Mus musculus: one gene and its partner. The protein of the gene in region 1 purifies or fractionates together with the protein of each later gene. This does not show direct contact. Links are inferred from orthologs where the notes say so. Each region holds a gene or a part of one and is shown on either strand. Other genes may lie near its edges.

Region 1 (3,811 bases):
CTCTAATGGCTTTAATAGAATAATGGATGATATTAGCACCTACTTTTAACCAGGTTGTCCTTGAACTCATGGGAGCTGCCTGTTTCTGCTTCCCAAGCACTGGGATTAAAGGCATGCGCCACCAAGCCCAGCTGGATTTATCTTTTCTTAGTCACCAGTACATTGTCCTTCGAATATGGCACTTTTCAGAGATTAGATAAAAAAAATTCTTCAGGAAAAAAACAACATTTGCAGTCTATCAGGATTTTAAACGTTCTTCACTAAGGGACAAAGGTCACGAGTGAAATAAGGACTGAGACACAGCTCCATGGGGCATGCACAGGGCTGTAACTCCTGTGGTCCACAGACACACACACACACACTGTGAAGTGTAGCTTTGGCTCTTCTGGTGAAGTATATATAGAAATAAAAGCAAGACCATAATGATGAATACATATTGATTTCTTACGATCTACTTCTTCCCCAAAGTATTGGCACATAAATGTCAACAGCCTAAAAGAGTACATAATGAAAAGAGGCATTTGAACAGCATGGTTCCAAGTGACTAACTCTATGTCTCCTTTCTCCATAGCAAAGAGAAAGATACTTGCCCGAGCAAGCTTGATTTTAATCCTGATGGAATACCTTACTTCAAAACTGATCCACAAATTAGCTAATGTTTGTCATGAGGCAATTTAATCACCCACTTAAAAGTCTTACGATCTGGGAGTTAGGTGAGCAGCTCAATGGCCGGGCACATGCTGACCATTCTCCAGGCTCAGACTTTTAAATGCCAGCACGCACACATAAGGCACGCGCGCGCACACACACACACACACACACACACACACACACACACTAAACCTTATTCTCCCTAAGTGTTCTTATACAAGAAGGCTTTCCTTAACACAAAGGGTGGAAAGCCACAGTTTTAGGCCAAGGAGACTGCCTGGGAAATTTCACTTTTCCATAGTCCTCACCCTAGCCGTGCCTTACATATTCCATCCCTTACCATGTGACTAACAAGAGCCAAGTTCTCCTACTTAAATCACCAAAACTACTGCAAGGAACTGTTCCTGAAAGGCAGTACGGATGTAAAGGAAACATTATTGGTGTAATTATTAAGAAATAAAGTGCATATGCCTTTTAATATCAATATTGTTTAGTACAGTAGTACAATGAAAATGAAGACGTAGTTCAGTAGCTAATATCTAAAAAGTGTGGGACAAGGAAACAAGTTGTATATAAATAATAACAAAATGGGGGAAAGGGTTGCTCCCCTGCAAAAGAGACACTTGAAAACATAAGAAAATCGAATTGAATTTCTGCTCCCCAGTAAATCAGACAGGCTGCACAGTGACACCCACATGCAACCCCTGAAAGGCAGGGTCACACTCCGGAGGCTGCCCTTGGGCTTCTTCGTTTAACTGACAATTCTCTGGCGTCTGGCTAATTTCATCCTGTGAAGTAGAGGCCACTCTATGAGTCTCACTGTCAGAGGAGGCGTCAAACCTTTCCGGAGAACAAGCGAGGTGACGCTTACCGTCTCCTGCCACATCGTCAGAATCGGCCGCCTCTGCGGCATCGTCCAGCTGCTGGACGGAGGTTAAATACTGTTGGAGCAGAGTGTTGTCCTGCTCACTGGCTGAGCTCTCCCTACTGCAGTCACTGTGCTCCTCGGCTGTGGCCTCCGAGTCTCGGTCTTTGACGCATTTCACCGTGTCAGCGGAATTCCCCAACACGGAGTTTTCGCTGCTTTCTACCGAACTCTTTTCAAAATCCAACGAATCCTGCAGACAGGGAACTTGCTCTGTCAGGGAGGAGTGAAACCCAGAGTCGGGAAAGTCTGGCGCTGATCTCCCTTGCGCAGCTTCGTCCTCAGCAACGAGCCAGTCCGAACTCTGATCCGAAGAGGGGTCCTGATGATGTGGAAATAACGGGGGCTTGGGTGACGCCAGAGTACTTGATATAGGAGGCACGTCGGGCGGCCAGGAAGCCAGACGCTGTTCCACTGTCTGCTGCCAAGCTTGTACAGATCTTACCTGGAAACCAGGACACACAGTTTTAGTAGAAAGTAAACAGCCTGTCTTTTTTAAATGTCCAGAGCTTTTCCCCCACAGAAGTCCTGCAGTTGCCTGCATTCATTACCCGTCTAATCCCTTCACAGGGCTGACCCCAGCCTAACTGGGCAGGCACAGTGTTTTATGTCCTTGGCAGCAAAGCGTAACCCCCAGCACGAGAGGAAGGCCATAGCAGTTCTCCTGCTTCACGGGAGAAATACGACAGCATCTTTCTCACTAACGGATCGATAATGTGCAAAATATAGACAACATCTAGTCGATAAGGGCCGATTAGCACCTCTGAGTCTAAGTGCATCTTCTAAAATGAGTCTATTTTAGATATAGATGCAGACATGGGGTTTCCAGTTATTTTAAAATGTAGTATTTATAACTTTCTAAAATGACTAAAAATACCCCAAGTTCTTGACAATATGGCCCTTAATATTTTAAAGTTATAAAAATAATTTCAATTTTTTACTATAAAAATTGCAAGCTGAGCGGTGGTGGCACACGCCTTTCATCCCAGCACTTGGGAGGCAGAAGCAGGCAGATCTTCGAGAGCTTGAGGTCAGCCTGGTCTTCAGAGTGAGTTCCAGGACAGCCAGATCTACACAGAGAAACCCTGTCTCACAAAGCAAACCAAACAAGCAAACAAAAACAGCAACAACAAAAAGGCAAGGGTGGGAAAGGGCTCAGTAGTTAAAAAGACAAGCTATTCTTGACTGTAGGAGAGCAGTTCCCAACACCCACGCAGGTCACAACGGTACACCCACACAGCAGGTCACAACGGTACACCCACACAGCAGGTCACAACGGTACACCCACACAGCAGGTCACAACGGTACACCCACACAGCAGGTCACAACGGTACACCCACACAGCAGGTCACAACGGTACACCCACACAGCAGGTCACAAAGGTACACCCACACAGCAGGTCACAACGGTACACCCACACAGCAGGTCACAACGGTACACATCTCCAGGTGTGAGGCTTCCACACTCACCTGTGGCCCCAAGGGCACCGTACACACATAGGTCACATGCATACACTCCGGCAAAACACCCATACACAGAAATGTTTATTTTTTTAATTGCAGCTGGTATAGTGCTTGCCTAGCATACACGAGGTGCTGGTTTCAAACCCCAGCACTACACAAATCAGTTGTAATGGGGCACACCTGTAATCCCACCACTTGGGGGATGCAGGCAGGAGGATCAGGAGTTCAAGGTCACCCTTAGCTAGAGTGAGTGTGTGGCTAGCCTCGACCACATGAGAACCTATCTCAAAAATAGAGTAAGATAAAATAAAATGAAGTAGATAAAGATAGCTGGGGAGAGGAGAAAGCCAAATAGAGAAGTTTTAGTTTCACTTTGACTACTCTCCAGGGGAATTTCTTGTCTTTTTTTGAGGCAGGTTCTCACTATACAGCTCTGTGCCATTGAGGTACTTTCTGATAGTAGTCTAAAATGTATCTTTTCAGAATTTTTTTCTATGTATTTTCAAACATGTATAGTTTTCATACATATTTTCAATTTTTAATTTTTCTTTAGTTCTGGAGGGGGGCACATACAGCCTGCAGGAGCTGGTCCTTGCCTCTCATCACGTGGTCCCAGGGTCCAAACTCAGCTTGGCTAGCTTGATGGCCTACAGCTTCGTCCAGTGAACTAGCTCACTGGCCCTCAGAGAGCTCTGAAAACAGTGCTGCTCCACCTTCCTAATGCCCTTTCATACAGTTGCTCCTGTTGTGGTGACCCACAACCATAAAACTA
Region 2 (4,605 bases), on another chromosome or scaffold:
ATCTGGTTCCTCTTCTTTTCCCTACCTTCACCTAGCTGGGGTCTAAGCACAGAAGCATTGCTTAGAGAAGAATGTCAGCACTGATTGCCACCACATGTTTACCAATCTCAAACTGCTCTCAACCAAGTGGCTTCCAAGTCAGCTCCTAGTTGGTGTATCACATAGCCCAGGTTCTCTCCCTGCCAGATGACCTTAATCCCTTGAAACTAGAAACCTGTTGCTTCCAAGCCTCTTTGTTTTGATCAAGTTAACCTTTTTACTCTGTACTTCAACTCCCTACTGAGTAAAAATGTAGCTTATGCCAATGAAGAGGGTTGCAAGAATCATGCAGGAGGAGTCCCAAGTGCTATACTGAGAACACAGCAGAAAGGAATCAAGATACACAAAACCCCCTGCTGTCTTGAGGCTATTTATTTTCAGACCTAATTTAGACAGAAAAACTAGCTCCCCTCAGCAGGAACCATTTCGGGCGAAACCTAAAGAATTCGGCATCGCCGAGTAAAATGAGATAAAGGTCAAGTGTATGTGGAGCAAAAGCAGATGCACCTCAAACAGTGTAGCTCTACAAAAAGAAAAAGAGTTCCAAGATATCCACTGCACCAGGCACCCTGATGGGCATTGGAAAGAAATTGTTTGGACCTTCATTTCGAGGGAAGGACATGGAAAGTTCTAGTAGGAGAGTGACATGATCCAACTGTCATGCTGGCTACTGTACCATGAACAGAGTAAAACCAAGCAGGACCAGAAACAATGTCAGTCGTCGTCCCCAACCCCACCCCACCCCCAAGCCCGCCAAGAAATCCCTTTCCCCAGTCTGAAATAGTTCCTATGTGCTAAGTTTTCCCCTCATCTCTGGCAAAAGGGATACATTAACATATCTCTGTGGTTCTCATTGGCGTGTCAAGGTCAATGGTAGCCTCCACACTTCCTTATTCCATACTCACAAGTCCCCCACCCCCTAACCCAGCCCACAGGCCCAGGTATGGCTTCCATATAACCCAGAAGATCTTACACACACACACACACACACACACACACACACACACACACGTATACCCCCCTACATCCCCCCACCCCGCATCTTGCTGCTCTCCTCAGAGACAGCCTTGGCAGTTTAAAATAAACTTCTTACCCTTGTACCCATGCTTCATTGGTACCCATTTTCATTCAAATAGAAGAAACTAGTAAAGTCCAGAATGTGAGGTAGCCAAGGGGCTGTAGAGAATTGCATGGAACACATTAGAAGGGGCAGCATCTGCCAATTATTAGGGCTTTGGGGGCAGCCTAGATCTGTAGCCAGCACTCAATAACCTTTTAATAATTATTCATTTCCTTCTCCTTTTTCAGTCCTTCCCCCTACTCTCAATTCGGGTTTTAATTTCCTTTGGCAGAAAATATAAAGATACTTGCGTCTGTAGCCCTAATCTCAAAGTCACTAATGCCTTGATTTTTGTTGTTTTGTTTCTTTTGAGACAGGGTTTCTCTGTGTAATTCTGGCCATACTGGAACTCTCATGGTAGACCAGGTGGGCCTCAAACTCAAGAGATCCACCTGCTTCTGCCGCCCAAGCACTGGGATTAAAGGTGTGCGCCAACACCAGCAGGCTCTCTAATACCGCGCTATCAAACCTCATGATCACTCTGTAGACCTAAGAATACAAAGCGGAGCTTGTAACATTAAAACAACAATGTAGCTATCCTAGTCTGCTAGTCTCTACAAAAGTGATTTCTCTAAGGCTCAAAACATAAAAATGTTTCCTTTTTTCCAGCGGGGGAGCTCTGAAGTGTCGGGAAGAATTTCACACATCCCAGGCTAGCCTCAACTCACAAAGTAGCTGAGGATGACCTTGAATTTCTGACCCTAGGGCATTCACCGCCTGAGTACCAGGATTACAGGCCTGTACCACCATACTTGACATGTGCCGATAACTCTCTGGAGTCCAGCCAGCGCTCCTAAGAAACATCCGTACAAAGCTAGTTTGTTCTAGACTTCACCTGAAATGGCCCAAAAGCAAATCATATAATACTAAAATGTAGGCAGGGTTTATTTACTGATACATCCCAAGAACTCGCAGGATCCAAAGTTTAAGGCCAGCCTAGATAAAAAGCGCGGTTTTATAAACAACTGTATAAAGAACAACCACAGTCATCTGTAAAGTGGAAGGCACAGAGGGAAAATGTTCTTTAGTAAATTTAATTAAGGACACTTAACAGTACCTGACATATAAGGGCAAACATAACTGTTAAAGTAAAAAATTGATACATCAAGCCCTATTTTCGCCTTTTCCTTGATCATAAATGCCATTATAAGTGCAACCACAGACAGTAACTATGTTTCCAAGAAATAAATGGGAGGGAGGTGCCCTCATCGGGAGCTTGTGGAGAGGAAGGGCAAGATCTATGGCAAAGGTATTAAGGAGACAAAGAGATTAAGTATCTTAATTTTGGGACTTAGATACATTGTAGCTTTGCTCCCACGAAGGTAATGCCGGGAAGAGGAGGGGTCTGTAGGGACCCAACAGTCCCAGTGAGCTCACTCACCTCTAATGCTGCCTGGGGATCCCCGTCGATCAGAGCATCTGAGAAGCTCTGGAAAAGCCTGCCAAGAAAACAACGACTTCAGCAGGTCTCTCTAATCAAGGAAAGAATAGAAAGACAAACAGCAAAGGTGAAGAAAATCACGCACCGCTGGGACGATGCAGGTCCTGCTGCAGCTGCCGCCATCCCTAGGAGTCAAGAAAGCTTCTGCCTGAGCGTTTCTACCTTGGTTACCAGCTCCGCCGCCGCCCAGGAAGGGAAAACTTCTAAAGAAACCCCAACTGAGCTTCCGTCCTCCGTAGCCAATCAGCGGTCGCGCAGCATGCAGCCGCGGAAAAGGAGGCGAAGGGTGGGCAGGTAGGCGCGGGGCCGGCTGGGAAAGAGGAGGAAACGCTCTCCGGCCCCGCCCCTACCCGTGACGCAGCCAAGCCCCCGCCCCGAGGGCGTGGCCGTGAGTCCCGCGCCCCGCCGTACGCCCGTGGGGGATCCGGCATGGCTTGTAAGCTTTGAAATATTGTCTCGGAGCCCACTGTAAGGTACTGGGGATCCGTCGGGAGGTAGTTCTGGCTTCGCTAAGGAGTGTCACGTTAAGCTCCGTTTACTCCGGTTTTCATCATGGCTACCGCCGGCGGCCAAGTTGTGCGTGACGTCACTCGTGGCAGCCAGGTCTTTTCCGGCAGCAGAGCCCGGGATGGCGCATCAGTTCGCATGACTCTCTCCGTGGAGAACCCGGACGGCCTGGCTCGCCGGAAGTCACGTTACCGGCATGGAGGACGGAGTTTTCCGGAGGGCCTGCCAGATGCCAGAGCTCCACACCCCAAGCTTCCTTCCTAAGTCGGCTTTCCAAACCAAGAAAAGCCTGTTTCACAAGCACCGCGTGGATGAAAGTGACCTATAGCTAATGGTCTTATTGCTGCTTTGTGTTCTAAGTAACCAGTAAGCCCCCCGTCCCCCGCCGTCCTTAGAGCCAAACATCACACTAGGAAGTTTCCTGCGAATTCTTTGAAACTGAGTGGTAAGGGGCAACAGGAGGGAGTGGCAGTTATAGGTTCACCAAACTTGATTTAAAAGCTCTTGATAACGCTCAGTAACTCGTTTTACCAAGTCTGTTTTAGTAGGTGAAATGATTGAAGTGGTCGTTGGCTTCCTCAAACAAGATATATATAAGACCTCAGTCTGGAAACATGACAGTCCACGAAGAAAAAGAAATTACAGTTCAGGCATTTGTGTACATATCCCCACTGTTAAACTCGCCCACTTTTCTGAGTTCTAACTTTAAAAGACCTAAGTTTTGTCTTCCCCACTTTTCTAGCACGTTTTCCATACTGGCCAAACGCCTAGTTGTGCTTGCTAGCTATCGTGGGTATTATAATTTTTTGTTACAACCTCAACCTACCAATCAATCACCCCTTGCAGATGCAAAAAATAACGGTGGGAGGACGTTTGAAAATACAGAGAAACTTGAGCCCATATTCAAGATGGAGAAACGGAGGTTACAAAGATTTAAGTATGTATGGGGTCATCAAGAGATGGAAGTGTGGAATACTACAAAGTTTAAAGTGTAACACATTTGCCACCTGTAGGTATATCCCATCTGTATTGTAAATGGGTTGTTTGAAGGGGGGGGGGGGTCGAGCCGGGGCGGGGAAGGGCTGATAGAAGATAACAGGTCCCAGAAAGGAATCTGAATCCACTTGTGGGAAAGGAGAAGTAGGTGGGAGAGACACTTGAGGCAGACCAGGGCCAGCTGGCCACTAAACTCAAAGAGGTGCAGGTTTCAGGTTTTAGTAAGTACTGAGAAGATCAAATTAGCTCAACTAAACTGAAGCTAAGCAGATCTGTAAGGGAAGGTAGAGAGCATCGTTTTGGATCTTTCCATTCAAGGTTGTTTTCCGTTTCTGTGAACCCTGCAGAAACTAGACTGTAAAAGAACAGATGCATAACGATGAGGAGTGTCTTCTGCATAATGTCTTTAAAGGAAATGTTAGTTTTGTTCCGTTTGCAGTTCTTTGCATGGCTGGGTGTGACTTCCTTCTTGGATGCATTTATTGCAGACACCTTGTGCCAG

The links.
Region 2: the proteins of Cep97 (region 1) and Sugt1 purify together in Homo sapiens (affinity purification with mass spectrometry; 3 studies listed by BioGRID and IntAct, with this or other methods). This does not show direct contact. The link is inferred for Mus musculus from reciprocal best matches to the Homo sapiens genes CEP97 and SUGT1.

What each region holds. Positions count from the first base shown.
Region 1 is NC_000082.6:55,903,849-55,907,659, forward strand, and holds part of Cep97 (centrosomal protein of 97 kDa), read right to left. Parts: intron 2,022-3,811; coding exon 1,320-2,021; 3' UTR 1-1,319. UniProt on the Homo sapiens protein: Acts as a key negative regulator of ciliogenesis in collaboration with CCP110 by capping the mother centriole thereby preventing cilia formation. Required for recruitment of CCP110 to the centrosome.
Region 2 is NC_000080.6:79,585,947-79,590,551, reverse strand, and holds the start of Sugt1 (protein SGT1 homolog), read right to left. Parts: upstream 2,893-4,605; 5' UTR 2,724-2,892; coding exon 2,686-2,723; intron 2,599-2,685; coding exon 2,541-2,598; intron 1-2,540. UniProt on the Homo sapiens protein: May play a role in ubiquitination and subsequent proteasomal degradation of target proteins.